Neurospora crassa OR74A: one gene and its partner. The protein of the gene in region 2 interacts with the protein of the main gene of each other region in a biochemical or structural test. Links are inferred from orthologs where the notes say so. Each region holds a gene or a part of one and is shown on either strand. Other genes may lie near its edges.

Region 1 (15,260 bases), on a different chromosome or scaffold from region 2:
GAAAGAAGAACGCCATATTATATGCCCTTCTCAAGTACGTGTTGACATAATACATCGCCGCCTTTCTTTCGATAATACACGAACTCGCTTCTTTCTTTTAGAGATATGGAATCAAAAAAAAAAAAAAAACCCGGCCCTTTCCCCTAAAAACGCCGTTCGCAAAGAACTCCAAATGTTGATGATACATCGTCAAAGGCAGAGAAGAAAGAACAGCTTAATCCCCCCTTTTATTACATTTCTCATCCTCTTTTCAATCTCCTAAAACTCCCGTCTAAACCCTTCTCGTAGGAAACCTTTCCTGCGCCCACCTATTCGCCCGCGCATTATTCAACGTCGCCGGCGAATGCTGCATATACGCACTACTATCCCCATCCCCGTCCCTGCTCGCCGCCGATGACTTCCTGGGCGACCCACCGGCAGCAGCAGGATAAATCTCGCTCTTCAACGGACTCGGCTTCACGGGGCTGTGCTGCCTGATCAGCCTATCCGCCAAGTCTCTCTGCTCCAGCGCCGCCATCTCGCGGCCGTTGCGGGGCGAAGGCGGCGCGTCAGTGCCTACGCTGGCTGTTCGCTTGAGTGGGGAGTTCATGTGCTGATACACGCCGAGGCTGCCGCCGCCGCCGCCGCCTGCTGCTTTACGTGGTGGGTAGGAGGTGGTGCCGGCGTGGGCGACCTGTCTCTTGCTAGGTGTTGGGCGGGCGGTCATCGAGATGGTCGAGGGGGTGTTGCCGTAGCTGTTTTGGCGGAGGAGGGCCGTCGGGGTACGAGTAGTAGTGGTGGTGCTTGAAGAGGTTACTGATCCGAAACTGGGACGGCCGGTGGTGATGGGTGTGTAGGGTCGCGCCGCGGGAGTCGAAGCGTCGGTTTGTGTTAGCTCTCTGCTTTGCTTGAGGACACCGTCGGGGTCGAAGTGTTTGGCGTAGTTTGGGTTCGGATGCGTTTCGAAGCCGCGGCGGATGATGGTCGAAGGGGTGCCGATAGCTACCGATTCTTCTTCCAAAACGTCGTCGACAATCGAGACCTGGGTCGCTACCTCGCGGTAAATAGGGTACACCCGCGGGTGCACGTACTTGATGTCGTATTCGTGCATGACTTCGCGGTGGATGATGTTCATGTCCTTGGATTGCTGGGTGAAGCGGGAGGTCAGGAGGAGCATCTGAGCTGTGAGGAGGAGCTGGAGGAAAAGAGCTTTGAAGACGGTCACGCTCGGGCGCGGGTCGAGGGCGGCCAAGGGGAGGAAGAGCATGTAGATGAGGACATGGCCGGGGCTGAAAAGGCAGAAAATGCGCAGTGTTGCCGGGTACGGATCCCAAACGGCCACCTCCCAGACGTCGCGTGTCTTGTCAGGATGAGCGCGCGCCTCGGCCGATTCGCCCTTTGCAATGTTTTGGATATATCGAAGGGGCGTTGGGGTGGACGGCGAAGAATCGACTCGGACACGATGCGCGGAAGGGGTTGAAGGGCCTTGAGCCTCGACGTTCGCTTCGAAAAGTCGGTAGTGGCGCGATCGGGTCATGGTGTAGAAGGCATTAAGACCAGAGATGGGGATCAGGGTCCAGATGAGGAAGTTAATCTGTCGCATGCAGTCAGAACATCGTTCACTATGCCGTACAGGTCTGTCCTAAAAGTAGTGAAGCCTAACTCACCAATGCCTTTGTAAAGCCGCTGGAGGGAGCATCCGAGAACACATCATCGTCGACAAGCTCTCCACTAATGTTTGCGTTCGCTCTCGCAAGTAGGAAGAGGACATTCGCAATCAGACCGAACCAAGTACCGAAAGTGGTCGAGTCCCAATCGAAGCTTTGGATTTCCTCCGAGATCCAGATATAAAAGTCCATAGGGTTGAGGAAGGCCTGTATCCGCTCGGATAGCGGGCGCCGCCGTACCAGGCGACGAGGTGTTGGAGGCATGTTTGGATTGCGATGATGACGATATTGTTTGGTGATGACAGATTGCGACAACGCAGAATCGATGTTTGGGGCCGCCTTCCCACTCGGTGGTGTTTTGGTAGAAGATACGAGAGGATTGTGCGCAATGATGTGACGGTCTTGCGCAGTCCTTAGTTGTGTATCGTGTGGTGAAAGGGCACCGGGTTGTGCCCGGATTGGTTCTAGGTAAGGTTGGTCAAAGAATGAAGATTTCTTTTGTTTACTTTTGCATTTGCGTTGCTCGGGGCGCGGATCGAGAATGGATTGGAAGAGCTCTCCCTAGGTAGGTCATGGAAATTGACCCCGGTCGCAGTCAAGGTTCAACCAGTGGCAGGCGAGGCGCAACCTGAACCGAGAATTTAGTGAGCCCCAGCTGTGTCAGTGGAGTTTTTAGAACCTGGCATTGCTGAAAAGAGGGGTCGAGTGGGTTTAGCGCGGGCTGTTGACCGCGAGTGGAGCCCAGTTGGATCCAGCGGGTGCGGCTAGGTTGGTCAGAGCTCCAGTCCGTCCCGTCATCCTGGAGTACCTGGATGGACGACGACAGCCGACGTCGACATCAATCGATACGACCACAACCGCAACCGCCGGCAGGCTTCGACATTCCCTACCGACGCTAATACAAACACACATTTCAGAAGATTTACTCAAGTTATTGCCAGTCACTCAAGTTTCTATCGTTGCATAGCCCTCGTTCCCCGACCGATACCTGACCCAGCCTATCATGGCAACTTCCCAAGCAGACGCTAGGGACCGTCAGTTCCTGGCTGTAATTGGAGACGAGGTGAGTGTGATTTTGCAACTAGGTCTACATCTGTCAAGGAGCTAACAATTATCTAGGACTCCGTCACGGGACTCCTCCTTGCAGGCATTGGCGTAGGTTCCCGTATGGTCCTCGGATGATATGCGGTAGCGGAGTTCTAATACGCACTCGAATCGTAGCACGTTACGGCTCCCCCAGATTCGCAAAAGAACTTTCTTGTGGTGGACAACAAGACGGATAACGCTGCTATCGAGGCGGCCTTTGACCGCTTCACAACCGAGAGGAAGGACATTGGCATTGTTTTGATTAACCAACATGTAAGTGCGGGTCTTGGTTCAAAGGGGGGGCTTGTGGGGAGATATTTCTTATTGACAATTCTGGATAAAATGGGCAACTGACGTGGAAGACACAGATCGCTGATAGGATACGACACCGAGTCGACACTCATACCGCGGCCTTCCCTACCGTTCTCGAGATCCCGAGCAAAGACCACCCTTACGACCCTGAGAAGGACAGTGTTCTCCGCAGAGTCCGTCGTCTGTTTGGTGAATAAACGTGTTTGGCCAGTTTAGCATGGACATAACAAACGGGGAATGATACGCCACGATGGAAGGAATGGAAGCAGTCAGGTTCATGGGGGCATAGCGGAATCAATGTGCCCACGACATCACAGCGGCGGCGCGCAATGCGGGGAACTCAGAATACCTATAAAGAAGCAGAACGACGGGAATGTTTCCTCAGATATGTTCACGCCTAAGCATGCTTAAAGGCAGAAACAGTCTCAAAAACCAACTACTAAACGCGAAAAACTCCAGTACTACCAAAGCAAAACCCATACAAATGCTGTTGCCGTGCAAGTGCCATCATCCGATTCGGTGCCAAGAATGAGTTCATTAATCCATCATGCGCAGTATTCATCCAAGGTCTAGATTAAACATGCCATATCCGTTGTTAATCGTCAAATCCGCTCGCTCTTCACCCAGATCAGAGATCGTCAAGGAAGCCAAGAGTCTTGCGACCAAAGAAGACGGTGGCGGTCAAGCAGGTGATGTGCTTATCGTCGCTGTTGTAGACATCGGCCTCAACAGTGTACTTGCCCTGTAACCATCAAACCGTCCATGTCAGCGAATATTCCCATCAACGACAGCAGTATTGAGAGAGGGGGAAATTGGGCAATAAAGAACGTACAGGTGGGATCTCCTTGGGCAGCTCAACGTTCTTGGTAATCGAGAGTCTGCCCTTCTTGATGGGGCATTCGAGCTCCACGTTCTTCATCTCCTTGCACAGGTCGGCAGAGGTGTTGATCAGGCGGATGTAGCCATACTTGACTTGCAAGTTGACGTATGCCCCTTCCTCGATGGCCTCCTTGACGATACCAGACGCCTCGATTGTCAGGGTCTGACCGCTGTATGTGACAAACCCATTAGCTTTCTGTTTCTGAACATGGTAAGATAAGAGACATGTGACATACGCCTCAGGAGGGTTTGGTGTCAATATGACCTCCTCGATGGTAACAATGTCATCTTTGCGATCGGCCGCAGCGTCACAAAACCTCAAGGGCGACTTTCCGGGAACATCGAGTTCATCGTTGGCAGAGACGCTGTTTTCGCGATAAACGCTAAAAGCGGCGGCGCTCGTGGAAAGGAGAGCGATGACAGCTGCGGAAAGCCTCATGGTGAGTGATGGTAGCGATTTGTCACGGTCGGTGTTCGGTGCCGAGATGTGTTATGGAGACCCTGGAGAGGATGGGATGTGGTTGAGAAAGCGGGGAATATAAACGCTGTCCACCGCCGAGACAGTTACCGACAGTTCGTTGTGTTGAGTTGCGGGATGTCGGCCACAGGGATCTCACGAGTCAAATCGGAATGGCAGTTGTTTACAAAGATGGATGTCGTCGTAGATGGAGACTCCAAATGATACCTCTGATACCAGGAACGAAACAAGCCACAGCAACTGGAAGCGGAGGCAGTCAACTGATGGCGAGCGAGATAATGGGCTGGCGTGACTGGCTGGGTGAGGTTGATCCTGGCTACGCAACCAACCTGCATCAGTAGAGATGGACCTCCACAGGAGCCAGGTCACTGGTTGGCCCAGTCGATAAACACACGCAAACACTCCCGCTTTGGCACTCTGCGCAGGCCTCTCTCACAACGGAACAAGCGAGAGACGTCATTGGGGCATGACGGCGAATGGCGGGTTCGATTTGCCCCAGCCTGCAGCCATTTCCCCAACTTTCTTTTGTCTTGTTTACCTAGTCTTATCATGTGAGTCGGAGCGGATCCACTTATATGTGAGCTGGACCAATCACGACTATTGAGCTACTGCGGCGGCGCCGTTTCCTGAAGCATCGAGTTCTTGGTTCCCAGCTGCTGTCGAAGGATCTTTCGACTTTCATCGCTGGGGTAGGGAGTGACGAAATGTCATATCGGTTGCCCATTCTCAGGTTACGTATACTACACTCAGCGCACTGAACGACACATAACGCTGCATTTTTTTAATTGAATTACATCCTTTCTGCCTTCGCGGCATGGCATATGGGCGTGCTTTTTGAAACCCTTCAGTTTAGGGGTCGCTTATACTCGGAACCCTGGTCGTCAATTGTGCCATTTCGAACATGGCGTTTTTACCAAACATCGAGATCAGAGAACAAACCGACGGACTGTCCGAAATCGCATACGTGGTGCTTGGAACTCAAACATGGGTTTCCTAGACTAAGTTGCGGGAGCGTTGGGAAGTTTGGTTGTCCCTGCGTGACAACTTCGGCTATGGGGGCCGTTTTGCTGCGATAGTCCTGCCGAAGCTGCCATCATTGATGCGCCTTTGTGGAAGAAGTTCATGTCGCCCAAGAGATACAGTTTACAACAATGGTTGGAGTCTTGGAGCAGCGGCCATGTTGTCGCGCAAACTGGAAAGCAGATAGGCAGCGTATCTCTCTGGCCTCGGGCAGATGTCAGACGCACTGATTCAGGCTGGGTCAGGGATTATTGATATGTGTTTCCGGGCGTATCACTGAAACGGGAATGATCGGGACGACGAGTTTCGCTCAGTCGTTCGGCGGCTTGCAGTCGTCTTGATCGGTTTCGGGGTTGTTGGACGAGGTAATTATGCGATATGTCAAACAAGTTGTTGGACAGCAATCAAAGCCAGATGTGCCTTTTCACACAGGAGGTGTAAGACAGAAGAGAAAAGAAAAGAGGAAGTAAAGCCCAAAGGGCAAGCAAGTGAGTCGTGACGGACGGGCGTATTAAATGGAGAAAGGGAAATAAAAAGGAGCAGATTGCATAGTTTCATGTGAATGGCTGCGCCTGGTTGAAGGGTCCCACCGTCCAACGTGATGAGAAAGACATGACAACATTGATTGGAGCGAGTAGCAACTGCAGCAACGCCGAAGCATTGCAGCCACACCTTTGTCACGCTCGAAACCCACTTTGTACGAATAAGCACTAGTGTCAACACTGCTCACGGCTTCGATGATTCGCTCAAATCGACGCTCACCAGCCAGCCAACCAGCCGTTTCCCAACACTCAACAGTGCGACCGAAGTGACCTTGTCCGAGGTTGAGCATGGGCGCGCGTAGGTAGTGTAGATCGGAGCTGGTTTCCAGCAGAAGACGGATCGTCGAACGACACACAAAGCGCCATGGTAAAGGGCATAGCTTATCAATCGTGGACATTGAAGAGGACGGGATTCAAAGGCAGTGCTTATCGACATCGTCTTGGGTTCAATCGCTGTGACATTGGCTGTTTGTTGGACGGTGGTTGCGGTTGGATGACACCCATCTCGAATCTCCGACGCTCACCACTCATCTTCGTCCTAGGCCGAACAATAACTGAGGCGCAGATGCACGCCCCTAAAAACAGGAGTTCAAAGTCCTGGGGCTTTGAACGCAATCTTTCCAAGAAGCAGACATTCCAAAAGGCATCGTCCTCATGTTGAGACGCATCCGTCGCGCTTGAACGGATTGTCACCGGCATCAAGAATGCAAAATATAACACGATATTCGACCCGAGATACCATGCAAGGCATGTACACTATAGAGAGAGTACTGACATCCAAACCCGCCTTCTTGTCATTGTCGCTGCTGTCAATATAGCCGTGGGCTTTTCCCGTTTCCGGAACACAACCCCGTTTCTGCTGCCCGCTGTGGTTATCATCCAGTGAGCCCAGGTACCTGACCTCCTAACCACCTACTACCACCACGGTAGATTGACTTCCGCGACGCGGCTCCTAGAGTTGTCCACGCTCCGAGGTGCTGCATCACGTCTGGATACCCCATCTCCACGGGTAGGCCTCCATAATCCACGATAGGTGGCCATTGCGCACATGGCCTTAATGAACCGCCGTACAAGTCCGTTCTGCCTTCGGCCCTCGCGGCGCGCCTTTTCGTTGATGGAACCCTCACCTTGCACAGTCGCACGCACCCCGCCCTGGCCTCTTTCCAGTTCGCTCTCAGTCCCTTCCCTTCGTGGTTTCCTTTCAGGCCCCCTCCTCCTTGTCCCTCTAAAGACCCCTCCACACTGGCTGGCTGCTCGATCGACATTTCGGCATGCAAACATTTCAAAGCTGCATGCTTTTACTTCATACCATGTCGCATATCAGTCACAGTACTGACGTTTCTTACCATTTCCATTTCCTACTCTTCTCCGCTGCCGTGAGCTTAGTGGCTCGGGCCGGACTCTTCGGTTGCGTTCTTTTTCTTCGTTGATATCATATGGCGGCTGATGCCGTGGGGACCTTTTTTTTTTTTTTTTTTCGATCCGACAAAACAGCCAAGCGTCGCCTACAAAACAGCTGCTTCCTTGGTTGATGGCCCCCGCCCACAGTGGCTGCTGCGAGCTACCAAGGCAGTCTAGAAACACATCGGGCAGAGTAGAAAGTGGTTGCGCTAACAATTTCCCAAGACCCGCCGGGTACCGTAGGGCGAAAAAGACACGCAGCAGACGTGCGAAACAGCTGAGCGAAACACAAGCTGGAGAGCAGAACCAGGAATCCAAGGAAACAAGACCGCCGGCAGCACGTCCACAGTCCACTTGCAGCTTTTATGTCGCCCGCACCGAGGACGCTCACTGCACACAACCTAACAAGGCCCAAGGACAACCCAAGAACTGGACAGGTTCCGATTTGGGGGAAGGCCTGTGCCACGGAGATTTCCACGGCTGCCGAGGGCTGTTTCGTCTGATTGGCCCGTGCTCCTGCTGAGCACTGCAGCGTCCCTCCAGTCTTGCCCGTCCTGGGGGGGTGCCCGTGGTTAGGTACTCTTGCCCGACCTAGGTACTGCCCGCCTCTGCCCTTTGCACAAGAGAGAGCGTGAGAGGGCCACGCATTGGCAGTGGCTGAGGTCAGTGGTGAGTTCCCCCGGTCCCGGTCGCCGTCCCGGGCAATTCCCATTCCCATTTCCACTGCCACCAAAACGAAAGGTGCGCAACCAGAGAACTTGAAGCACCTCAGCTGCAGTGCTGCGACCGACTGCGACAGGCGAGACTGCGAGTGCAGCCCGCCCGCCTTCCTTCCCGTCTTCTTCCTTTCTGAGATGACCTGCCCCCAAAGCCAGACACTGCCAGAGCGAGGGGCCCCAGAGAGGGCCGCCCGCGCGGGCACGGCAGTGGACAGAGCGATTGCAACCAGCACGCCAGCGCCAGTCCAGCCAGAGTCAGACCTGAGTGAGAGTGCAGGCAGGACTTGAGAGGGCAGAGGGCAGAGTTCCCAGAGTGCGAGTGGGCCCCCCTCTCTCCCTCGCACTTCCACTTTGCACTCGATTTCCCATTCCTCCCGTCCCCTTCCACTTGAATTCTCTGGTCTCTTTCTTGGATCTCTTGCCCCCCCTTCGTTTCCGACACCTGCCTACCTATTCATCTTTCACAACAGTCTTGACCAAGTCCGAACCGACTTTCCATTTTCGCGCACATACGACTCTGCCCCGGCCGACTTTACCTTTCTTCAGTTCGTTTCGTTCCTCGCGGCGCAATCTGTTCCCTTCTCGACAAATCCATCTCGTCGTCGTCGTCATTCACCACTGCGTTTCTCCTCGCTTTTGGGCTTGACGCTCGCCACTCCTCCTGCGCAGAAGAACACGATCCAGATCCCGAGAGCGACCTCGACCTGACGCCCGGCTTATTCCTTTTCTGGAGACTTGGTCTTTCAATCTAGGCCTCGACAGTGATTGACGCCGCCTGGGCTCTCTCCTCAAATTCTCGAATTCGACCTTCATCATCAGTTCCGACGTGTTCTTCCGCCCGACCGAGCGTTCCGCTGCCGACTTGTAACCCTGGCTAGTCCATACGACAAACGGGCAATATAATCCAAGGCTGTCTCCCAACGGATGAAAGCCCCGGCTTTTTCGTCAAGTTGTGCTCGTCTCTCTGGTCAGAATCAATTGCGTTGGACAGCGCGCCAGCATGCCCTTCGACCTAGAAAGATAACCAGTCAACAACACCCTCCCGATATCCTACCGAAACCGCCGTCCCGAGGTCTTTCCATAGATTATGACCGACAAGCTGCCGTCACTGCTGACGCCAATCGCGCCTCCTAGTCGGACTTCATTCTCCGTCTCTGCTGCCGTTCCTGTCCAAGATGGTATACGAGCGCAGGAGAATGTTGAGGAAGAGCCGTACACCATTAGGTGTATCTGCAAATACCCCGACGATGACGGAAACACGATCTACTGCGAGCTATGCGATACGTGGCAGCACATCGAATGCTACTACCCCAACAACTCTGAGGATGCTCTCCGCGATCCAGACTTTGCACACTTCTGTGTTGAGTGCCAGCCAAGGCCCTTGGATCGGGAACGAGCCAAAGAAAACCAGAGGCGCAAGCTTACAACGGGTGTCACTGAAGGAATGGCAGACAAGAAGAGCAAGCGTCCTATCTCAAAGAGCCACAAGAAGAAGCCGAAACCGAGCGACCTGCCATTGACTGGTCAGCACTCGAAAGCCGAAAAGCAAGCCAGCATCCAGGACAGCCATCCTCCAACAAAGAAATCGAAAAGCTCGCACAAATCTAGTCATTCGGTTAGCTCACAGGCTGCGAAACGCAGTCCACAATTCGGCAGCACCAAGTCCAACCATGCTCATCCTCCTAGTCCTGCGGCGACGCCACCTGACCTGCCTGCCGACTTTGAGATACATACCTATGCCCCTGCGTTGCTATCCGGCTCCAGTGACCGAGGTGTTGAGATTGTGCATACCAACAGTTTTGCTAGCCTCCAGGTGTCAAACGCCATCTCGGCTTGGCTACGAGACCACAACAAACTCCAGAAAGAGACGGGCTGGGCCTACGCTGACATTTTTCAGCCTCTACCCCCAAATATTGATCAGCTAAAAAGGCCAGTGGATATTGAACTTTCCCGGAAGACACTCGGTCAAGGCACCGTCGCGTCTTGGAAGTGCCTCAAAGCGCCATCGGCTATTGCTCATAACGTCCCTCTTGTGGAACTGAATGGGCAGATCGGGATTCAGAGCAGTTATTGCGCAGATCCCGATAGCCGGTGGCAAGAGCTGACGTCCCCGCTTCCTTATGTCTTCTTCCACCCCATGCTTCCCATTTATATCGACACCAGGAAAGAAGGATCCCAGGCTCGCTATATCCGACGAAGCTGCAAGCCTAATGCCATGCTCGAAACATATCTTTCAGACGGCTATGAGCTTCACTTTTGGCTTGTAACCGACAGGCAGGTCGCAGCTAGGGAAGAAATCACACTGCCCTGGGACTTCCGATTCCCCAATGAGAATAAGTCACGGATGCTCCGGGTTCTGGGGCTCAGTGACGAAGACACTTCAGCCCACGCCGAGTCTTCTGTTGACGATGGGGAATATCAGGCACTTACGAGCTGGCTGCACAACATCCTTTCCGAATATGGAGGCTGTGCGTGCAACCTTGGATCAGAATGTGCATTTGCCCGCTTCCATCGGAATCATTTGGGCAAATCACAGGCGCCAGCAAACCCACCCAAGACCAAGAAGCGAAAAAGCAAAACACAAAGTTCGTCCACCATCGGCACAGGGCCAGCAACGGACAGTCGAGCAGCTAGTGAAGGCCACCTTGAGGATGCTCCCGAGAATGATCGCCGATCAGTGTCTGGCTCAGCACGGAGCAAGCCTCCAAGCCGAGACCTCACCCCCACGGCCCGCCAGGGATCATTCGACACTCTTGGGATATTGACAGAGCCGACCGATCGGGACAAGCGGAAAGTCTCCATGATCGAAGAGACCTTCCGCCGGATCGAGTTACAGCAACAACCTACCAAGAAGCGGAAAGCACGCGGCTCTGATGCAGCTACTACCTCCAAGAAAGGTAGCAAGAGCAGCGCTACAACCCAGACGACAAATGCGACGAATGGACCCGACGAACGCCACTGCCACTTTGCCAATGGTGAAACAGCAATCACCAGCAAAGCAACATCACCAGCAGCAAGTGCGAAATCTGGTCGGGTCACCAAATCGAAGAAAACCAGTTCGAGGAAAGGATCTGTTGCCGTCGTTTCCCATCCTGTTCCTGCGCAGCCAGTCCGTTTGCCGTCTCGCCCCAAGTATGCCGATGCTGGTACTCAAACGAACCCCGACACCGAGGCCAACCCTGCACCCTCGCCGGCACGACCGAAAAGGAGGTTGGTTTCGGTGACGATGCGCATCATGCAGCATCATCGCTGGCTGAAAGAGCAGCAGGGCAAGCAACGACTGCTCAATCAGGCGGTTGCTACTGTCCCAATGGATGTGGATAGTCCAAAAGACAACAAGGCTGTGGTTTCAGTTGCTGGTTCGGTTCAGGATACAACTTTGAAACCCAGTGCACCAAGCAAGGTCACCACAAGTGATGTCGAGATGCCCGACGCGCCCACCGTATCAGCGAGTCATCTGAAGGCTGCCCAAAGTACTTCTGTCGTTACTGCGCCAAAGAGCAAAGTCTTGGATCTGAGGGTTCCCATGCCACCTGTTCCGCCCTTTCCAAGTTCAACCTCTTTGGCCTTGACCTCTACCACTTCTTTACCTGCAGGGACTTCGGCGGCTCAGTCATCATTTTCCGTTACTGGTCTGCCAAGTCCCCTGGGGCCGTCGTCTATCAATGGTCTGACTGCAAACCCAAGCCCAATAAAGAAAAAGTTGAGCTTGAGTGATTACACCAAAAGCAGGATGAACAAAGCTGCGGCAGCTCGCCCATCGGTTAGTGTGCCCTCTCTGAAGCCCAATGCTGCTTTGGACGAGCCAAAGTTGACCACCAGTGACGACAATGGTGGAGCTGCTTCTGGCTCCCCAACCACGGAAAAGGTGACTGATACGACTGGCTCGACCACAGCCGCTTTGGCCTTGACAACTGCAAGCAGCTCTGTGTAACAAGTATATAGACTAAGGTCTTCCCGTGTATGGATTAATGGTGGAGGATGTTCTCAAGTATTTCTGTTAGCGGCTTCTTACTCGGTGTCACTCTTGAGACCTGAGTCATAGAACCCCGACATTCGAGCGAAGCAGCCAGGTCGCTGTTAGGTCCGGGCCGATTGCGATATAAAGTTTTATGGTACTTTTACGTTTTTTTCACAAAATGGGTTTGGCGGCTGGTGATATAATTAACGTGGCGTTTGGGATATTTCTTTCCTGGTCCGGGAAACTGAGTTTTGTGGGACGGCTTCATATCAAGCCTTGGAGCCCCGTACTGGTCGGGAGTTTTTGTGAAACCGGGTTGGGTTGGGTTCACAGTGGTTGGTCTTCCATGATATGGGATGGCTGCCTGGTTTTCGGAGGGGGTTATTTATTTTGTCTGTTATGCTTGCGAGGAAAGACAGGAAGAGAAAGATGAAATGATCAAAATGGGAAAAGCACAACACCATCACATCACTGGATTTCTTGGTCAAAGTCATTGGATGGGTATGTCAAAGGACATGTCTCAACCCCTTTTTCCCTTGCCCAATCTTGAACTTCGTTCTTACTTTTTTATCTTCTTGTCCTCTCTTTCAATCTCTCACTTCTTTTTATGATGACCAATGGATGGATGGACGGATGGATGGATGGATCACGGCTTTTTTTTCTATCTACGCTACTACGCTACTCAAGCAATAGTGATAACGCTTTGCCAAGGCAGTTGAGGCACTCATTGAATCTTTGAAATGTTTCAAGTAGTTTACGATACATTTGCTGTATTTTCTTGATTTCGTTGGTCAGAACCTCAGGCATGTGTCTTGATCCTCCTTTGTTGGCATGGAGAAAACTAGTCATTTTGTCCTCGAAATATCTTCTGCTCTGTTGCCATTTAGTCAAGAGGGCTGGGGAAAGGAATACTACGAACTTTCTGTACATGACATTCAGTCACGGTATCCCCGAGCCACCTATATATACACCACAAGCCAGCCAGCCAGCCACCCAGCAGTACATGTATAAATATCCTGTTTGCTCGATGAAATGTTGTTGCTAGCTGTTACGTTTTACTCGCCTAAAATACATACATAGTTATTCATGTAGCTTCACAATTCCTACCGTGAATCCCACGTGTATACAAAAAAAAAAATACAAAGTGTCTACTATATAACTTACAAATTCAGTATTCGTATTATGCCGGACCAAATCTCGGATACCAAGTAAGATTGATAACACACACTTTGCCGGTTCCAGTCTCAAGACTAAAGATGCTCAGGATGTGTACGTATGTGGTCTTCTATATGCCTCGGGGCACAGGCACAACATACCATGATACTATAGTGTAGTGCGTCAATCACACCCCTTTTTTTTTTCTCCTTTTTTTTTCTGCTAACATAGCGGGGAGTCTGGAGGAGTTTTCTTTGTTATTTCTCGGTGGCTTGAAGAGGGGCTAGCTAACCCGTGGGTATATATATTGTACTGGTATGTCCGACTCTACACTCGGCACCCGAATGTATGTGGGTAGATATGACGCCGTATTTACTTGCTGAAGTTCAGCTAAAAGAGAAAAAGAAGAGAAGAAGAAAAAAAAAGAAAAAAAAAAAAAAAAAAAAAAAAAAAAAAAAAGGCTTATCCCTCTTCGAGCGCCCGACAGAAAGCAGGAAAAAGAAGCAACATGCTTCTTTACATTTGAATATGTCCGCTCATTTAGTGAAAACCTTTTAATGATGCACGATACTTCCTTCCCCCCCCCCCCCCCTTCCCTCCCCCCTCTTTGCGTCTTAAGGCACAGAGGCTCGGACTTGGGCGTTACAGAACTGCTAGCGTCCTGTCTGATATCCAGGTTTTTCAGGCATTACCTCTTTTCTGTTTTTTTTTTATGGCCATTTTACTCAGTCACCAAGCGGAGATATCAGGTTTAGGTACGGACGTACATGGACCAAAAGAGAATGAATGGGTGTATAGATGGATGTGTAAATACAATGTTCGAAAGACTCAGGAGTGCTTGCTGCTATTCTATTTCTGGTCCTTAATCCTGAAGTAATCAGAGATATGAACCATCGTGAGCTCAAAATCGAGAATTGATTCTTCGAGGGTTTCGGGTTCCATTCCCGTCTCCTTCCTAGTGAGATTGAGGGACAAGTGAAATAAGTCCTCAACCGCTCCAACCATAGTCGGACTTGATGTATGGTAATAACCTTGTAAAAAAGAACGGCAAATGAGTCTTGGCAGCACAAAAAGAACTTATTCGGGAAGAAGGAAATGGAGTCTATCATCATCCAGATAATTTCGAATATATAATCATGTTCAGTAAAGACAAGAAAACTGGATCGTCCTAAATGTGTGCCAATGAGAATTCGAAAATGATACCACCGAAGAGCGCTTTCGGTACATACGTCCAAACGACCTACTGACAACACTCAAACAAACCTGCACTACCAATAAATGACCAGACCCAAAAACAAAAAACATGCGGACTATGCAACCATACCAACGGAGGTTCCAAGCCTTTTCTTTCTAGCTTGCTAGATACAGATGCACACGCAGGTACTTACTAAACTAACTTCCGCTTGCACAAAGCACACTACCCCACGTAGAGCAAACAGCTCATACACACAGGACGCAGTGTCTTATCACCTTAGACATACATACAGTTCCAGACTCGTAAGCTGTTGTTATATATCACTCAGAATGTTCCTCCACCGGTCCATAGTTGTTGTCCCTCAATTCCTCCTTTTGTATGCTCCGATTGACCTCATAACCACAATGTACCTCAAGCTTCATGATATAATCGGACAAATACCCCTATACTTAGCTTTCGTTACCTCGTACTTCTAATCCTTGAGAGGAGATTCTCACTCAGTTAACCACACTTAACAAGCCACCCAACAAACATCAACACACCAACACATTCGACCAAACGTATTCGGGGGGTTTATCGGGGGTATCACTGTTCTAAACACAACATTTCACGTCGCCTATCTCCTAGCCTCCCTTACTGATTCCCCGGACCCGGTTGATGAGGGTATTGCATCTGCGCCGAGTAATTCGGATTGAACCCTCCGAAAGAGCTTAATTGCACCAGATAATTCCAATCCATCTGCGAAATGTCGAGATCCATTGAGCCTGCTGACGGTGGCGCTGGCGCTCCAGCCCCAAACATCTGGCCCATGCCAGTATCGAAGCCTCCGTTGGGCGATCCGAACATCATCGACTCGTTCATCATCA
Region 2 (16,149 bases):
TTGTGTTTGTTGCATGAGGTTAAGGAGGCGTGCGTGAGTGCGAAGGCGAAGGTGATGGAGAGTGATGGACGGGATGCGAGTAGGGTGGAGCAGATGAGGGTGGAGGAGGGCCAGAGGCTGACGGAGGATTTGAAGGAGAAGGTGAGGGTGGTGCAGGATCAGTGGAATGAGGCGTTGGGGGAGACGATTGGGGGAGTTAAGGAAAGGGTCGGGGGGTGGTTGTTGGAGACGGGTGGCTGGGATGAGAGTTTGGAAGATGGGGGTGTTGGAGGTGTTTGAATGGAAGATTGTTGTGAAGAAAAAGGAGGAAGGACGGCAATGGGGCCTGTCTATTTTCATTTGGATATCCTACTTGAGGGATTTGGACGTAAATACTTGAGCCGCTTCAGTTGGATACATCGTTCGTTTTTTGTTGATACCCCTTCACCAGCACAATATAGAAACCAACCTACTGAAAGGATTTTTCAATTTGTAGCTCATCTACATGCAAGTATCTCGAGTTTGTATGCTGCACTTCCACACTGACACGGAACCACCATCTACATAGAGGTAAGCGTTCAACAGAACGTCCATTCAGTTCACACCTCTCCCATCGAACTTGCTCCAATAACAAACAGTAAACCAATCATGACGCCAAACACCTCCCCCATACCCAAAACCCCAACCTACTATTCCTTGTTCTCGGGCATCACGATATCCCTCACCTTGAACCTGGTGATAAAGTTATTTTGCTTGACAAACCAAGCATTCACAATCTCCCACTCCCTGCTCGGATCATCGAATTCGATCTGTAGTACGCCATCTGTCAGTCAATCGTTTCTCTCCAAATCCAATAGCTAAGAAAGGGAGGAAAAAAAAGAGAAGGGGGCAAACTCACCTCAAACCTCCTCAACAAAGTAGGCACCAACTTATAAATCTCCAACAAACTAATGTTCTTGCCAATGCACGTCCTGCTCCCCATCCCAAACTGCAGCATATGCCCATTCATCGTCTTGATCCTCTTCTCCTCTTCTTCTCTCTTCTTCCCCTCCATATCCTCTTTCGCTACCGTCTCATCCACAAACCACCTCTCGGGCCTAAACTCCTCCACCCTTTCTCCAAAGATGCTCTCATCCCGATGCAAAACCCACGCACTAACCCCGACAATCGTGCCCCCCTTGACAAACTGCCCCGGCACAATCTCCATCCCCTGGGGGGGAACCACCCGTTCCATCGGCAACCCCGGCGCAGGATGCAATCTGAACGCTTCCTTCACACACGCATCCAGGTACGGCAGTGTCTGAGCTTCCGCCCACGTAACCAGGCCCGTCTCGTAATCGCTAAACTTGCCCTGGCGCGCCGCTTCGTCAATCTCCTCCCGCAAACGGGCCAGCGCGCGCGGGGTGCGGAGCAGATAGTAGAACACGGCCGAGAGCGAAATGGCGGTGGTCTCGGAGCCGGCAAAGGCCATGGAGACGGCCATGGTCTGCACGAGGGTGTCGGTCATGAAGTTGGGGCGGGCGGAGCGGGCGGCGAGGAACTTGGAGAGGAGGTCGGGGGTTTGGATCTTTAGCTGGGCTTGTTTCTCCGAGGTGGGCAAGATGGCTGTCTTTTCGGTTTGCAGTTCGGGAAGACGCTCGGCCATGCGGGCGCGCGCAAAGGCGGCGACGGGCATGGTGCCGTCGATGAGGCCCCATTGGGAGAGTTTGAGGTAGAGAGGGTTTTTAAGGAAGAGCCGGTCGAGGAGGGGGATTTGACCGATCTAGTTCACGGAGTTAGGTTAACTTGGCAGGAAAGAAAGAGGAGGAGGTTGGTTGAAAGACGTACGGGAGCAACGTAGTTGAATAGCTTGGTCAGATACGAAACAATCCCATCGATATCCTTGTTGTGCTCGATGAACCCGTGTCTCTTGCTGTATGTTATCTCACCAATGACGTCGAACGCATAGAACTGCAACCAGCGGGTAAAGTCGCACGCCTTTTCCCCTCCTTCGACGTACAGCTTCTCGGTCTGCTCCAGGAAGAGCTTGGTGGTGTTATCGACAAACGGCTCATACTGGACGAGGGCTGACATGGCAAAGGCAGAGTTGACGCAGCGTCGGAATTGCATGTGGAATTCATTGTCGGTTGTGCTGAAGAGGGAGGGGAGGTTGTGGCCTTTGACAGTGGATTGTTGGACAACGTAAAAGTCGGACTGTTTGTTGAGAGTCAGTGAACATTCCATATCCCCTTTTGGGTTGAGGCCGTTTCATGGATCAAATCTCACCTTGACAAACCCCTTGTTAAGACCGTATATCGTCTTGATCGCCTCTGGATCCGAAAAGGACAAGGTGTTGGGTCCAAGGCGTACGATAGGGCCATGTTTCTTGTGAAGCGCAATGTGTGTAACTTCTGGTCTCCGCTTATACACATCGATGAACCTCCACCAGTCCGTCAACGACGCCAGGAACGGGCCTGGATATTTGTTCAGACCATTGTGATATCGGTTCCTGACCAGCCATCCCACAAGGACCAAGCAAAGTATTGCTGGCCAGTGCTGTGCCAGCACTTTTATTATCAAATCTGTAATCATCTTGACTCGGACGGATAACTATTGTGACGAGAAGAGGAAGGCGTATGTAGCGGTGCCCTGAGGCTTCGAGCTTGTATCTTTGTTTCTCTATGACCAAGTGTAGCGTGGTCTGATTGTGTTATGGTTGTTGAAACCTAATATTCGGGAGGTGGAGGATGAAGAAAACCAAAAGAAGATTGCTAGAATTGAGTGGAATAAACAGATAATAAACAAAGCAACAAGAAAAGCCGTGTCGAATGAGCTTATATGTGACTGCTGCTCGACCAAGAAACCCATATGGAGGGCATATGTAAGCGGCTCTTATAACACAAGACATGGGTTGAGAGACACAAGAGGATCTCCGCGTCCCAGAAGAAGACAAACTGGGGTAGGTAGGTAGGTACCGAGGTGCCGTCATAGGAGTCCGAGGCTGATCTCCCACCCATGCAAACCTACCCCGACAGTTTTCCCCCGTGCATCTCCCGATGCCCGACAATCCTGGGATAGACTCGATATGTCAACAAGCAAGGCGGAGAAGTCCCCTAGAGGCTGACGGCCCGGTGGTCCTACATCATCATGTTGTGTAGGGACATCCTACATATCTCGCCCTCCAACAAGCGAGCCATTCCACGCACAGTATAGGCAGATATCAGCTCGAACAAACAACTGAACTTTGCAAACGGAGATGAATTGTTGTGAGGCGAACCACTAGGTTCACACTTCTGTTAATGACTGGTTTGACAAAAGAAGATACTCGTTGTCTCGATATCTGAAAAGTGTCAACTTTCTTTGCGGTGTATACGATATATCTCTCCAAGGAAGAGGGTCAAGAGAACCAGGTAGGAGTCAAGGGTGTATCAAGTCACCCCTGAATTACACGGTATTGGTCAACCGGCTTGGTGGAGGGTGATTAGCCAAGTACTCACCTATGACTACAGATGCGATGGAAAAGGTTGCCACAGGGCTGCTGGATGTATACAACCTTTCTTCTTTCATTGCTTGGAATAGGTGTAGGTACTGTACCAACCAAGTTGCCCATCACCTTCCATTTAGAGATGCAGTATGCCATATAAAGTGAATGGCGGATTACAACCCTCCTCAACCGGGACGATCAAAGGATATCGGGAATTGAATAGTAGTTTGAAATGTGTCTCTCGTCTGTAAAGCCGTGTGGATGTAAAATATACCTCTGCGATGCTTGCCTGGTAGTCTGCGATGAAAGCAACACAGTGATGTACGTGTAAGTGGTAAGTGGAAGCCGTAACCGGAGCCTTAATTGGAAGTCACCGACTAAGCATAGACATGAGGTAGCTGAGCAAACACCTACGTTGTGACCACTACCACCACAGGCGCGACCAAACATCACTGCCGTTGGTGGTGGTAGTGGGGGCGTGACGCCAACGCCTAGGGAGGGGGGAGGGGCACATGCGAGCCAATATCCATCGGCAGATGTCATATCCAATCGTTGACTGCGACAGTTTGCGAAGGTTGGCAAGGTCCTATCAAGATACGGGAGCCGGATGCATGCTTTCGACCACCGTGTTCCCGGATATGTCCTGTACAAAGACGTAAGCGGTTTCGGTGGCCCAAAGGCAGTTGTGGAAAGACACGGCAACTGGTCGTGTTGAAAGTCCGGTAATAAGGGATCGTCTTGGCGGCGGTGAACCCGGGGCGCTCGGCAGACTCCATTCTGAACGTCCCTCATGATCTGCTTCCCACGTCCCACACACTTGCCTTTTCAGTGTAGCCTCTCGGGAACAGCAACTGTTCCGTGTAGTGTATAAATCGGGACAGTGGGGTTTGATCGGGAAGCAACCATTCCATATTGATGTCTGTTCTGTACGCCGACGAAGATTCCAGTCCTGACTATATAAATCTATTAGCAAAGGCACCCTCAGTATCTTGAAGGGGGAAATTTCCATCAGGAAAATCCAACGAGAGTTTCAGAAGGTCCAACTTGAGGTAACTTTTCACCAACAACTTGGCTAAACAATGGACCTCAAACTTACAACTCACGACGCTTCCGATCCGCCCTCGTAAACAACAATGAATGATACCCTGTCGCCACGTTCTCGGGATTCGGGAAGGGTTTCCATGCGCCTTGCGAGCAGCCTCCATGCTCTCAAAGTGGCCTGCTATCTTTCCCTTGGTGCGCTTGTAAGCTGCAGCTGAGGAGGAGGAGGAGGCGGCGAAAGGAAGCTTGGTGGATGGCCCCTGTCAGAAGGACTCAGGTGGCCTTTCGGCAGATGTGAATCTACCCTTTGTGTTTCCGGATCTGCAAACAGCGATTCTTGGCTGGGATGATAGACGTTCGGCAATGGTGATTGTGGAAAACGATTGCTTCGAACAAGCAAAAGTAAATGTAGACCAGGCTTTAAGCAGGAGGAAAAAGCATAATCCTCTGAAGAACGTGTTCTCCTCCCCGCATGGATATGTAGATACAGCAAGTACTTTGGAGCAAGCTCGGCCAAGGTGTTAACAGAACGTAGCCAAGGTGTGTTCTTGCGCTATCAGATCCTGTCCAATCCCCGCACTTACTGCGCCTTTACTGATAAGCGACTAACTCGAGACCCCCTTCCCATTCAATTCAAAACTGTGAAATAGATCTAGAGGACAGTCCCTTCTCAAGCAAGATCATGGACTGGAATTATCCGGAAACAACTATGGTGCATGGAAACCATGATTCAGAATCTAGCTTTGGCTGGATTATCACACAGTTACTGGGGCATCCCAGGAATTATGTTCATAAACCCCATGGGGTGCTATGGAACATTCTTCCCCTCTCCCCATCGCTCAACATACAGACAAGGGTTCGACACAGATTCTCGATCAAGTAATCTATTTATGACAACAACTGTATACGCGTCAGAATAAACCACAAAAACAGACACGCAAACTTCCTGCCCATCAATCCAGCGTACATTATCTTCCTATATTGTACTTAATCGTAATACCTTACATGTACTAACCGATGGATGCTTTGTCATGCAAAATCATAAACTCGTTCTCACGACTCCCTTCCCTTGCAAAGGAAGGAGAGAATACCCAAATGCATAACGACATAAAAAAGAAAGGGAAATTGCAAACAAGTCCAGAGAAGCCTGGAACAATTCTACCAATAACACCGCGCAAAGTCCTCTGCTGTTGCTTCCCTGAGTAGTACACCTTCCATATTAATATCCAACCTTCCAATCTCCATCATTGAAACGCCACATACCATATCTCCTTTCAGATATATCAAATACCCCATCTTTGAGCAATAGCTGTCATGATCCTTACCCCAAAAGGGCTCAACGTGGGCAGGCCCCTTCGAAGCAGTTCCCTTACCCAAAGCATCTCTTGACGTGGTGACAGGCCCATCTATTCCCTCTCGTACAACACCCCTAGGAGTTCTGGCAAGGCCAGTCTAGAATCCCTCGTCCTCCGATTCCGAATCAGCATCCGGCACCAAAGCCCTATACCGTCGGCTCGCCAAATCCTCTTCCAACCCTCCATCGCTCTCAGAATCAACATACCCCTCGCCTCCGACCAGCGATAGCGCCACAGGCAAGAAGACCAACGCGTGTGTGGCGGCAAAAATGACCAAAGCGACCCAGATACGGAAGTAGTAAATCTCAAAGATCTTGCTACGGGTAAAACCGAGCACAAAGACACCGAGCAGCTTGGTGACCGTGATGCCCGAGAAGACGGAGCCACCGACGTTGCTGAGAGCAGTCCACGCGCGCGCGTCGCGGCCACGGAAGCGGTTCTTGGCGCGCTCCATGCATGAGCGAGACGGGAACATGAAGGCACGGGCAATGTGGGCGCAGAACTCGACGGCAATACCGACACAGATGATGAGGTTGACGAGCGAGACGGCGTTGAGGGAGACGCCCATGACGGCCATGGCGCCGATAATGTCGACGATGGCCATGACGACGGTGAAGCTGACTACTGCTGCTGTGACCAGGGAGCCGAGCAGGACGGAGGCGACGATGAAGATGATGCCGATGGCGGAGCCAAGGAGGGCGCCGGTGAGCGAGACGATGCTGGCGTACTGATCGAAGAAGACGTAGAAGACGCTGTAGGGGAAGACGTCTAGTCCTGTTTCGGCGCTGATCTCATTGGCGATACGGCGGGCAGCGGCGTAAGCGTCGATAAAGTCCTCTTGGCTGCGGAGCGGGATGTGGCTTGTACGGAAGTGACTGGCCGGAATGGTGTCCCTGTCCGAGTCAACCAAAACAGCAGAGCCATACGAAGCCTGTCCGCCCAAGGGACAATCTTCATTTGTTGGCGCACTGAGGAACTTCTTCAAGTAGTAGACAAACTCGTCACCTTCTGGCATGCCAGAAAGAGTAATGTTCCATGCCGGCGTCCGGTTCGCAAAGCAGGGTCTCCGCCGCTCCATGCAGCACCTCTCGTTCTCGGGGTTGAGCCACTGGAAGAAGTCATCAATCCAGCTGGCAGTGGGCGTCGAGATATAAGAGACCTCAGTCCGCTTCCTCTCCTGTTCCAAGATGTTCGAAAGCGACATCTGCTCACAAGTGGTATAGCGGGCACAGACTTTCTGCTGTTGCGCCCGATCAGTAGCGTTAAACTCCCTGGTGACAAAATAGACCGGCGGACCAGTGTTGAGGTACTCGTAAAGATCGTTGAAATAAGGTATCAAGTACGAATCGTCTGGAATGGCAACGCGCTGGTCCAGACCCAGCTTGACCTCGGGAATCAGAGCAACACCAGCCGCGAACACGCCCAAGAAGATCATGACAATGACAGCCTTGGTCTTTTTGCCCAACAGGCGAGGAGCGTAAACCTTGCGAATGAACTGTTGGAGATAACTTTCCTCGGGAGCCTCAAGATAGACCGGGGCCGGACCTGCACCGTTGCTGGCGAGATGGACTCTAGCAGATTTGATTTGGATGCAAGGGAAGCAGTCCGCTCGAGAATCCTCAACGCGGATCTGGTTCAGCGTCAGCACGGAAACAAACATGGTCACTTGAAGAATGGCGTTGATGAAGACAGCTCCAGCCGCATAGATGGCGAAGTTCCTCACCGCCGGCATGCCGACAAAGGCACCGAGCGCAAAAGATGCCGTCTCGGTCAAGGCCGAGAAGAGGATCGAGGGGCCCATCCGTCCTAAAGCCCTAGAAATCCGTGCCTCAACCATGTCGTCAGGGTAGCTAACATTCACACGCTCAAACTCGTGAACAATCAGGAAGATGTTGTCCACACCAACAGCGAGAACGATGAACGGAATCACATCGACAATGATCAAGGTAGCCCGCAGGCCAGCCCAAGAGAAGAGACCAATCGAGGCAGTGATCGACATGAGAACAATGACGATGCCCACGATACCGAGTGTGAACTTGGACTCAACCAGCGAGACAGCCGGGTTGCGAATCAAGTCCTTGAAGGTCAGAGTAGTAGAACCAAGAGCGAGCGAAGCATACAAGAACATGATGATGTAGCTGATGACAATGATCTTGGCATCGGTGTTGGTGGACTTGTTGAGTTCTTCCTCAAGACTGATTTCGGTAGAGAAGGAAAGGCGGAGACCGCGCTCTTTGGCCTCATCTTGCACTTCCAACAGTCGATTCTTGAGTGCCACTTCCCAGTCCATCGCACGGTCAACTTCGGGAGAGTTTTCAGAAGGATTGATCAACACCCAGGTAACAGTCATAGCTGAAGCTTCCGCAACGTTGCCGCCCTCTGGGTATCCGCCAAGGATCATGCTAGGGTCAAGAGGCTGTCCATATGCAGGGCGACACTCCACCGGGGACGCGGCGCAAGTCCGCAACGTGCTCTGCCAAGTCTCTGGGTCAACAGAGTCGGGATCGTCTTGGAAGTAAGCAGCAACTGACTGAACAACGCAAGCATCACCAGTGGGCTTGAGGCACAGGTCCTGGAAACTGCTTCCATAATTGGAACCCTTGAGCGCCGCAACGCTCTTCTCGACATCCATCCACCAGAGAAGAGTATCACGGCTCAGGACGGGTCCAGGACCGGAGGGTTGGGTGTCGTTCACAAGGAAGACCTTCTCAGCGCGGTAGAAGGCGCCGAAATGGGAGTCGAAGAAGGCTTTCTCCTCGGCCGCTGGTGAAGTTGGGCTCACCCACAAACGGGCCGGGTTCTTTTCAAGCTCAAAATGGAACCAGCCAAGACTGAGGATACTAGCGATCAGAATGCTGGTGACAATGGTAATGGCCGGGAACGTGGCCGCGACATATCCCAACTTGCTGAAAGCAGAATCACACCATGTGTTGATGATGTATGTCTTTTGGGGGCGGTCAATCATGGCCACGTTCTGGGTCAAGTCTCCCTCATCCTCGTCGTCGCTCGGGGCAGCATCAGTGAGAAGACGGAGTCTTTCACTCCTGCGCTTAGCATGTCTCTTCCAGGCAACGTGGCCAACTACGGCAGCAATGGAGATAAACAAGATGACGCTGTAAGTCAAGATGGAAGCAAATGACAGGCACGGTAGTGCGCCGACATGGCATGACCCAGCCTGTTCGACGTCCGGGAGCGTGGGGCAGATCTCGGGGCAGTCGACGCAGGCACAACGGAAGTTGGGGTCCTCGTCGTTGCATTTCTTGGGCTTCATGGGCAACGGCTTCATGTCGGGCTCAGCGTATTCGACAGGGAAGTTGATCTGGAAAGGCGAGCCACCGAAGCGTTCCTGGCCAAGGAACTTGAGCAATTGGGTGTAGTTCTTGGCGCCTCCGCCTATCAAGTCCATGGCCCTCGAGTTTGTAGGGCCGAACTTGACGTCCTTGCAGCTGTTGTAGAAGCCGGTTCCATACTCTTCAGAAATCAACTGGTCCAGCTCGGTCACTAGTTCCTTGCCCTTCTTTTCAATTGTCTTGGTGACATTGACGAACAGCGACTGGTTGGGGGAACATGTAAAGGTGCAAAACATGTTGAAGAAGTTGTCCTTGCACGCCGGGCAAGACGATATTATCTGGTTCACTGTCGATAGAGAGGACTTGAGCGAGTCAACCTGCAGTAAGGGTCAATATCAGCATCTTGCTTGGTTAACCCGACGAGCCGAAAGAGGGATTACCTGTTCAGGCAGGCAGCACACCGGCCCTGTACTCCATTTTGGGCCACAGAGATCAACTAGTTGTTGACGGAGATAGTCGTCGGGTTCCTCGGCCAAGCCATTGTCAACACAGGGCAACTGGCTTCCAAAGAGACCCTTGGATCCGCAGTGGCCTCTGATAGCACATCGTCCAGCTTCGTGCTTTGGCGTATATATCTCGGCTGTGACACTTCCCAGACCTGATAGTAGGAGCCCGCCGCTGGCCGCGACAAACGTGGATAGCTTTATCATGGTCGAGAATCTATCAAGGGCAGGACGTCGTCGCTATTATTGACGTTGCCGGTGCCGCTCGGCGGCTTGGATGCGATGGGGAGTTCCCGCTCAATGTTGGTCCGGCCAACGCTCTTCCCGGGAGATTGATGCAGGACCTATGTATCAGGTTGCATATGGTATGATACCAATAGTCGTCGTCAGATCAGCGATGGAGGTATGGTAAGGTCCTCGGAGTCACTTCGTTGTGATGGTGGCTTCGAGTTGTTCGACTTCAACTTGTTGTTGACTGTCGATGTCTCGGTGGATAGAGAGAGGACCTAGGTGATCGGGTCGGGTCCAGCGATAGTGGATTAGGTGTAGTGGACCAGAATCCCAGACGGCGATGATGGCCCGATGGTAGAACCTCCCGTCTGTTTTCCGATTATTGATAATGGGAGTTGGAGATGCGAAACTGAACTGGAACTGGAAATGGAAACTGGCACTTGCCCTGCCCCAGGCATGAAACGGATGACCTGGAAGCTCCCGATCTGGCCCTGGGGCTTCCCTTCAGTTGATGGGTGCCTGCCAGCGCTGTGGTCGTGTTTGGCTAGCTGAAGTGTATGCATGCGTCATCAACCGAAGGCAGCTAAGACGCTCTGCCGTGTCTGATTGGCTGTTTTCGGACTGGGGCAAAAGGTGGGAGGAGAACTCCGTCGAGGAAGGTACCTAACGACTGCAGTGGTAGGGGCCGCCAGCCCAGGCCACGACGCTCACGCAGTCCCTCAAGTCCCTGAGAATCGATCACGCGGGACAAGTCCACAGCTGTGAATCCCTGCCAAGACCTGGCTAGCAGCTGGATACGGCAGGCGGTCAAGTATTTACTACTATGAAGGGTTCTTGTCGAACCGTCTTCCGACTTGTCCTTGGCCACCGTCACCAACGACGACGTACAAGCTATCGATGTACACTAGCTAGTTGGTTATCTCTACAGAAACTTGTATGACAAGAGCAACTCAAAACTTGATATGTGCTTCAAAGCATACATCCGATATCAACTCTACTTGATCATCATCAATACATCCTAGCGAAAATACAACCACATGCCAAAGCAGTAAATAACCAAAACAATACACGTTCCAGCTCAGCTGTTCCAAAAACCACGCCCATGAACTGTTCAATACTGCTATCTTGCAAACAGGCATATGACCCAAAATGGCCCAGCGACAACATATGCAAATAATCCCCTCTCTCTTCATCCCCATGGCAAAACCAATCAGACCCTCCCGGTGACGTAAAACTGGCCTGTCAACGTCTCGACCTTCCAACCGTCGTTCTTCAAGGCAAGTCCCACAGCTTGTCGAAGACGCGAGACGCCACCCGAACTATGACGACCGACACCCGTAACCACCGTGAATCCCTCCATCTTGGCCTTGGACTTGCGGTGCTCACCCAGACTGTTCCACCACCGCCAGACTCGCTCCTTGGCAATGCGGACTCCGTCAAGAACGGTGACGCCGTGTAGATCGATACTGCAGTATGTGCTTCTCTCGTTGACTAGTTGTTCGGATGCCAGCGATATCCTTTCGGCAGCGGCACGGGCTTCTTCCCGGGCGCGTTCCGTGTAAACGATGGCGCCTTGTCGTCCCAAGGGTCCCTTGCGAGCAAGAGCCGAAGCCTGCGCGTAGAGGTTGGAGACTCCGTACTCACTGTCTGGGCTTGGTACAAGGGTAGACGCCCTTTCAAAGGTGGTGACAACCTGTGAACTTGCCATGCCACCGCGCCGTGTTGACGATGAGGGTCGGATGGGTCCCTTAGCCCCCTCCAACTCCTCGTTGTCCACTGTTGGCAATACCACTGCGTAGTTCAGCGCCAGTTTTGCCTTTCCTTTGCTGCTTTGGTCCTTGGACTTGTTCTTGCCTCTGCGGGTTGCGGTGCTTCCCTGTGGCTTGTGGAAGCCATCCAGTCCCTTGGGCAGCTGGCCCGTTTCGTGGAGGTGTTGCCGAGTCAGAAGATCGTCAAAGGCCCTGTCCAGGTCGCCTCCGCTTTGTTTAAGCACAAACTTGAGGGTGTGCTCCTTGAAGTTGGGAAACACCAGACGAAGTCGCTCGACCTTATCCAGCTCGTTCAGGTCTGATGAGTCGCAAAATCTGAGGTCCTCGGACGACGAGGAGGACTCGAAGGAGAAGATGGAGTCGGATATCGTTGTGGCATTTTCCGTAGCCAAAGACTCGGACATGATGCTGTGATCGACTTCATCACCGTTTGCCCCCTCGACAGAAATGCCCATTCCGGAGGGGTCAAACGACGTCGAGGCCTCACACGAAGCAGTCTGCGCCAGTGTGTTGAGAATGTCCTTGATGTCGTCATAGTCCGTTTGGATGTTTCGCTCCAGGGTAATAGCAAGAATGAGTGACTGATCCAGATCTCGAAACTCTTCCTGCAGTTGAATAATCCACGGTTAAACAATTGATTATTTGCAAGAATGATTTTGGGGCATGTTGATATAATAAGTGCTGTGCGTTCCAATCCGGCTTGAACCTACAAAGAGTTGTTCTAGAAGGGAGTCAACAGACTCCAACCGAGCCTTTCCCTCATATGAGGGAGAGCCTGATGGCTTCACATGGCTTTTCGTTTTCCTTCCCCCCATCCCAGGTGAAAAGGCCTATGGTTGTCGCTTAAAGGATGTGCGTGATCGAATACCGCTGGTTTCGCGCTATGGCATGAACATGAGGTGGATAAAAAAGACGAGACGGCTGGAATTCACTGTTCATCGTATGTAAGATAGGCCCAGTGTCGAGGTGAGAATTGTGTTGACTGGAGGTGCCCAAATTCAACCTGAGGATGAGCCAATGTCAAAATTGGCCAAAGAAACCTCGTAGCGTTTGCTTTTCTGTTTGCGCTTTCCCGACTTTCGCCCTGGGCCGCTTTCCTGTGAATCGGTGGGAGCGGGGGTCGCCAGGGTGTCACCAAGCAACTGGCCCCGATAGGTAGCCAGGGGAACCTTTCAGTCTGCGAGTGCAGGGTACACAGGTCGAGTTACGATTGCGTTAGCCAGTAGTGGAAGAGCAGGCTTACTTTTTATCTTGCATTAACAGCTTTGAGACCCCGCATGACTACGGCGGGGTCATCATCCGCTTTCCGTCTCCAGGTTGTGATGCTGAAGAGCTGAACAGGGGCCCATCGCGGGTTCTGACGTCGTCAACAATAGTTAGGTTGATCCCCCAGCATGGATTCGATTCATGCTATCTGACCTGAGACGAGAGAATCAGCATTTGCAGACTTACGTACTATCAAGCAGCACAGTCATTTCTTAAATCCGCTGGGTCATGGTTCATCCCATCGTTGACAGCAGGCTCATCAGTTTACAACGACGACGGGGTCTTCATCTTCTTGGGCACCTCAAGCACGCTGGTGGCCTAACCATCGACCGACCAACCATGTCCATGGGCCGATCTGCCATTGTAGCGAGAACTTGAAGGTGGCTATGCTGTAGCCCCTTCTAGTGTATCAGTCTCAAATAGTGGACAATAGTGTCCGAATTCTCCAGTGTCGTTGACAGCGAGATGAGCCTCAACTGCTTGACATTTCACGAAGCAATGGAATAAGCCGTGTGGATGGGCGGGTCGGCTCGCTTTTGAATAATGCATGCATCACGACTCAGCTGCCATATGTCAGTCAGTGATAGTGCAAAACAGCAACAACAGATACCGGTACCTACCATACACTACATATAAACTTTGGATGACACGATCCACGGCTGTCGTTCGGACGTCTCGGGGACCCGAGAGTCAGGAACATAAAGGCCGACGAAGAGTCCGAGCGGAAGGGCACACCTCCACTAGCTTCCATTCAATCGGACTTTGACCGCTTCCGGTCGTCGTCATTCCACAGCGTCCATCTTCATAAGGCGCCATCGCAACAGCGCTTGCATTGCGAATGGCGATGGTCGCACCAATGATAGACCCTAGACATGTCATATGCCTGAGTCAACATGGGGATTGATCCTCGAAGTGCCTGATGCTAGATATCAAAAGGCAGCGGATGACAGATGTCAGACTGCCGTAGAAGCCTCAGGATGAAACATGCAGGGACGGTGAAAGATCAGGCTACCGGCGAGATTGCATACACACACACGCACACGCACACAAGTTCACAGCGTCCGTCGCGCTTTGTCTCTTTTCAAACACCAACCGTGACTCGCGGTGTCTCTTGACCAAGTTGACTTGTCGCTGAACCTTACTCACCCACACCCTACGTGTCCTTCGTTCTTTCTCCTGTGGTGCCAGTCACCAGTCACAACGAGTCGCCACGCCGTTCGCTATCAGCATCAGACTGAACTGAACCGAAAGATCCAGGAGAGACATCCACTCGCTCTTACCCAAACGTTTCCATACATCGACGACAGGAAACAGAAGGCTCAAGTTCTTGTTGCCCGAAATTGGTAAATTGGGGAAACGGACACGGAACGGGCCTTATCCCATCATAACCGATCACGCATTCACGCCAGCACGTGAAGAAGCCAGCATATCTCTGTGTGCATACGCATCATTCTCTGCTGCAGTTTTCCTTGCCTTGCAGCGTCAAGCACTCATCGACCTGAACTTTTCACCAATTACATGGTCCTTGCATCATGTCACAAAAAACGGGTTCGGTGTCACAGTCCAAAAGACTGTTGAACTACCCAGACCCTTTGAGAGGGTAAGCTCAGCTTTCAATACTGCGGCCGTCGCTATGATCGTCGCTGAAAATCCGAACAGGCGTGCTGACTGGTATTCACAGTCCGGATGTTCCATATGTTGTGGAGAGAAAGTCCAACCCGCCCATTCGCGGCTGGATCATTTGCGCCGCTGCCTTCATGTGAGTTCTTCCTTTCAAGAGAGAGTCGCTCTATGTACATGCTGAGCTAACACCGATCATGCAGTCTGGAATATGTTCGCTTTATCAGGGAGATGATATGGCGCAACGCCGGCTTCGGCGACCTACGCAAGATTCGCCCCTATATTGAGGACTATGAGCCATGGTTTGAGCCTCAGATCGTACCCTTTCCAGATTTTGAGACTACCGATGAAGTTAAGGATGACCTTGCGGATGACGAAATCCCGGAAACTGAGGCGGCCAAGCGAGACGACCTCCGCCACAGATATCCCCAGGCAAATTATTACTCAGTGGAGGACTATCGGAAACTCTACCTCTCAGGCGCACTCACACCCTTAGACGTTGCCCAAGCTCTGCTGCCCCTGATCCGCCGCGACGTCGAGAACCCTACCGAGTACTCTTCAGCATGGTTCGACAGCAAGGTTGACAAAGTTTTGGCTGCGGCAACGGCCTCGACGCAGCGGTACAAGGAAGGACGCTCTCTTGGTCCCTTGGATGGTGTTCCCACTGGTGTCAAGGACGAGTACGACATTGACGGCTACGAAACCAACCTTGGCTCGAAAAACATCTACACGGGAACCATTCACGAGGAAGATTCCATCACGACCTGGTGTGTGCGCAAGCTGCAAGAATCCGGCGCCATCATCCTCGGCAAGCTCTCCATGCACGAGTTCGGTCTCGACACCACCGGCAACAACCCGGTTCACGGTACTCCCAGAAACCCTCACAACCCCAACTACTATACAGGCGGCAGCTCCTCTGGCACCGGCTATGCCGTCAGTGCCGGTCTCATCCCTATCGGTCTTGGCAGCGACGGCGGCGGCAGCATTCGCATCCCCTCCAGTCTCTGCGGCGTGTTTGGTATCAAGCCCACCCACGGCCGTCTCTCTTTCAAGCCCGGCCAAAACCACTGCCTGACCTGCGCCTGTCTCGGACCTATCGCCGCGGACATCAAGTCCCTCGCCACCGTCTTTCAAGTAATCTGCAAGCCTCACCCGTCCTCTCCTTTCCCTCCTTTGAAGCGCCTCAGCTTGACCGGCCCTCCCAATGGTGGTGACCACCCCAAAGTCCTCGGTATCCCCTCCGCCTGGTTCGCTCGCGCCACGCCCGCCATCCAAACCCTCTGCAACACCATGATCCGGCGCCTCTGCTCCGACCACGGCTACACGGCCGTGGAAATCGACATTCCCTTCCTTCCCGAGGGCCAAATTGCGCACGCCATCACCGTCCTCACCGACGCCGCCACCCTCCTCCCGGAAACCGGCAACCTGACCTACGGCAACCGCATCCTCATTGCCCTTGGGACCGTCACGCCCGCCTCTGATTACATGCTAGCCATGAAGCTGCGCCGCGTGCTGATGCAGCACCTCTCCTGGCTGTGGCAGCAATACCCGGGAATGTTAATTGTCACCCCCACAACCAGCTGCGAGGGCTTGCCGATCAAGAGCAAGAGCGAGCTGAAGTGGGGCGTGAAT

Evidence for each region.
Region 1: the proteins of NCU04090 (region 2) and NCU04388 form a complex in vitro, tested with the Saccharomyces cerevisiae proteins (2 studies listed by BioGRID). The link is inferred for Neurospora crassa OR74A from reciprocal best matches to the Saccharomyces cerevisiae genes NCR1 and NPC2.

What each region holds. Positions count from the first base shown.
Region 1 is NC_026504.1:3,522,803-3,538,062, reverse strand, and holds NCU04388 (phosphatidylglycerol/phosphatidylinositol transfer protein), read right to left. Parts: upstream 4,802-15,260; 5' UTR 4,363-4,801; coding exon 4,160-4,362; intron 4,094-4,159; coding exon 3,877-4,093; intron 3,787-3,876; coding exon 3,673-3,786; 3' UTR 3,279-3,672; downstream 1-3,278. Other genes in the region: NCU04386 (hypothetical protein), read right to left, coding at 272-1,573, 1,647-1,910; vma-7 (vacuolar membrane ATPase 7), read left to right, coding at 2,650-2,709, 2,766-2,801, 2,868-3,005, 3,101-3,241; SET-4, read left to right, coding at 9,171-12,017; col-22 (fungal specific transcription factor, variant 2), read right to left, coding at 15,028-15,260.
Region 2 is NC_026506.1:2,706,773-2,722,921, forward strand, and holds NCU04090 (niemann-Pick C1 protein), read right to left. Parts: upstream 10,328-16,149; 5' UTR 9,839-10,327; coding exon 9,569-9,838; intron 9,506-9,568; coding exon 5,936-9,505; 3' UTR 5,337-5,935; downstream 1-5,336. Other genes in the region: NCU04088 (hypothetical protein), read left to right, coding at 1-279; NCU04089 (pisatin demethylase), read right to left, coding at 669-788, 878-1,741, 1,807-2,172, 2,245-2,550; NCU04091 (hypothetical protein), read right to left, coding at 11,073-12,236, 12,342-12,446; NCU04092 (N-acylethanolamine amidohydrolase), read left to right, coding at 14,430-14,497, 14,579-14,656, 14,721-16,149. UniProt on the Saccharomyces cerevisiae protein: Involved in sphingolipid trafficking. May recycle sphingolipids between cellular membranous compartments.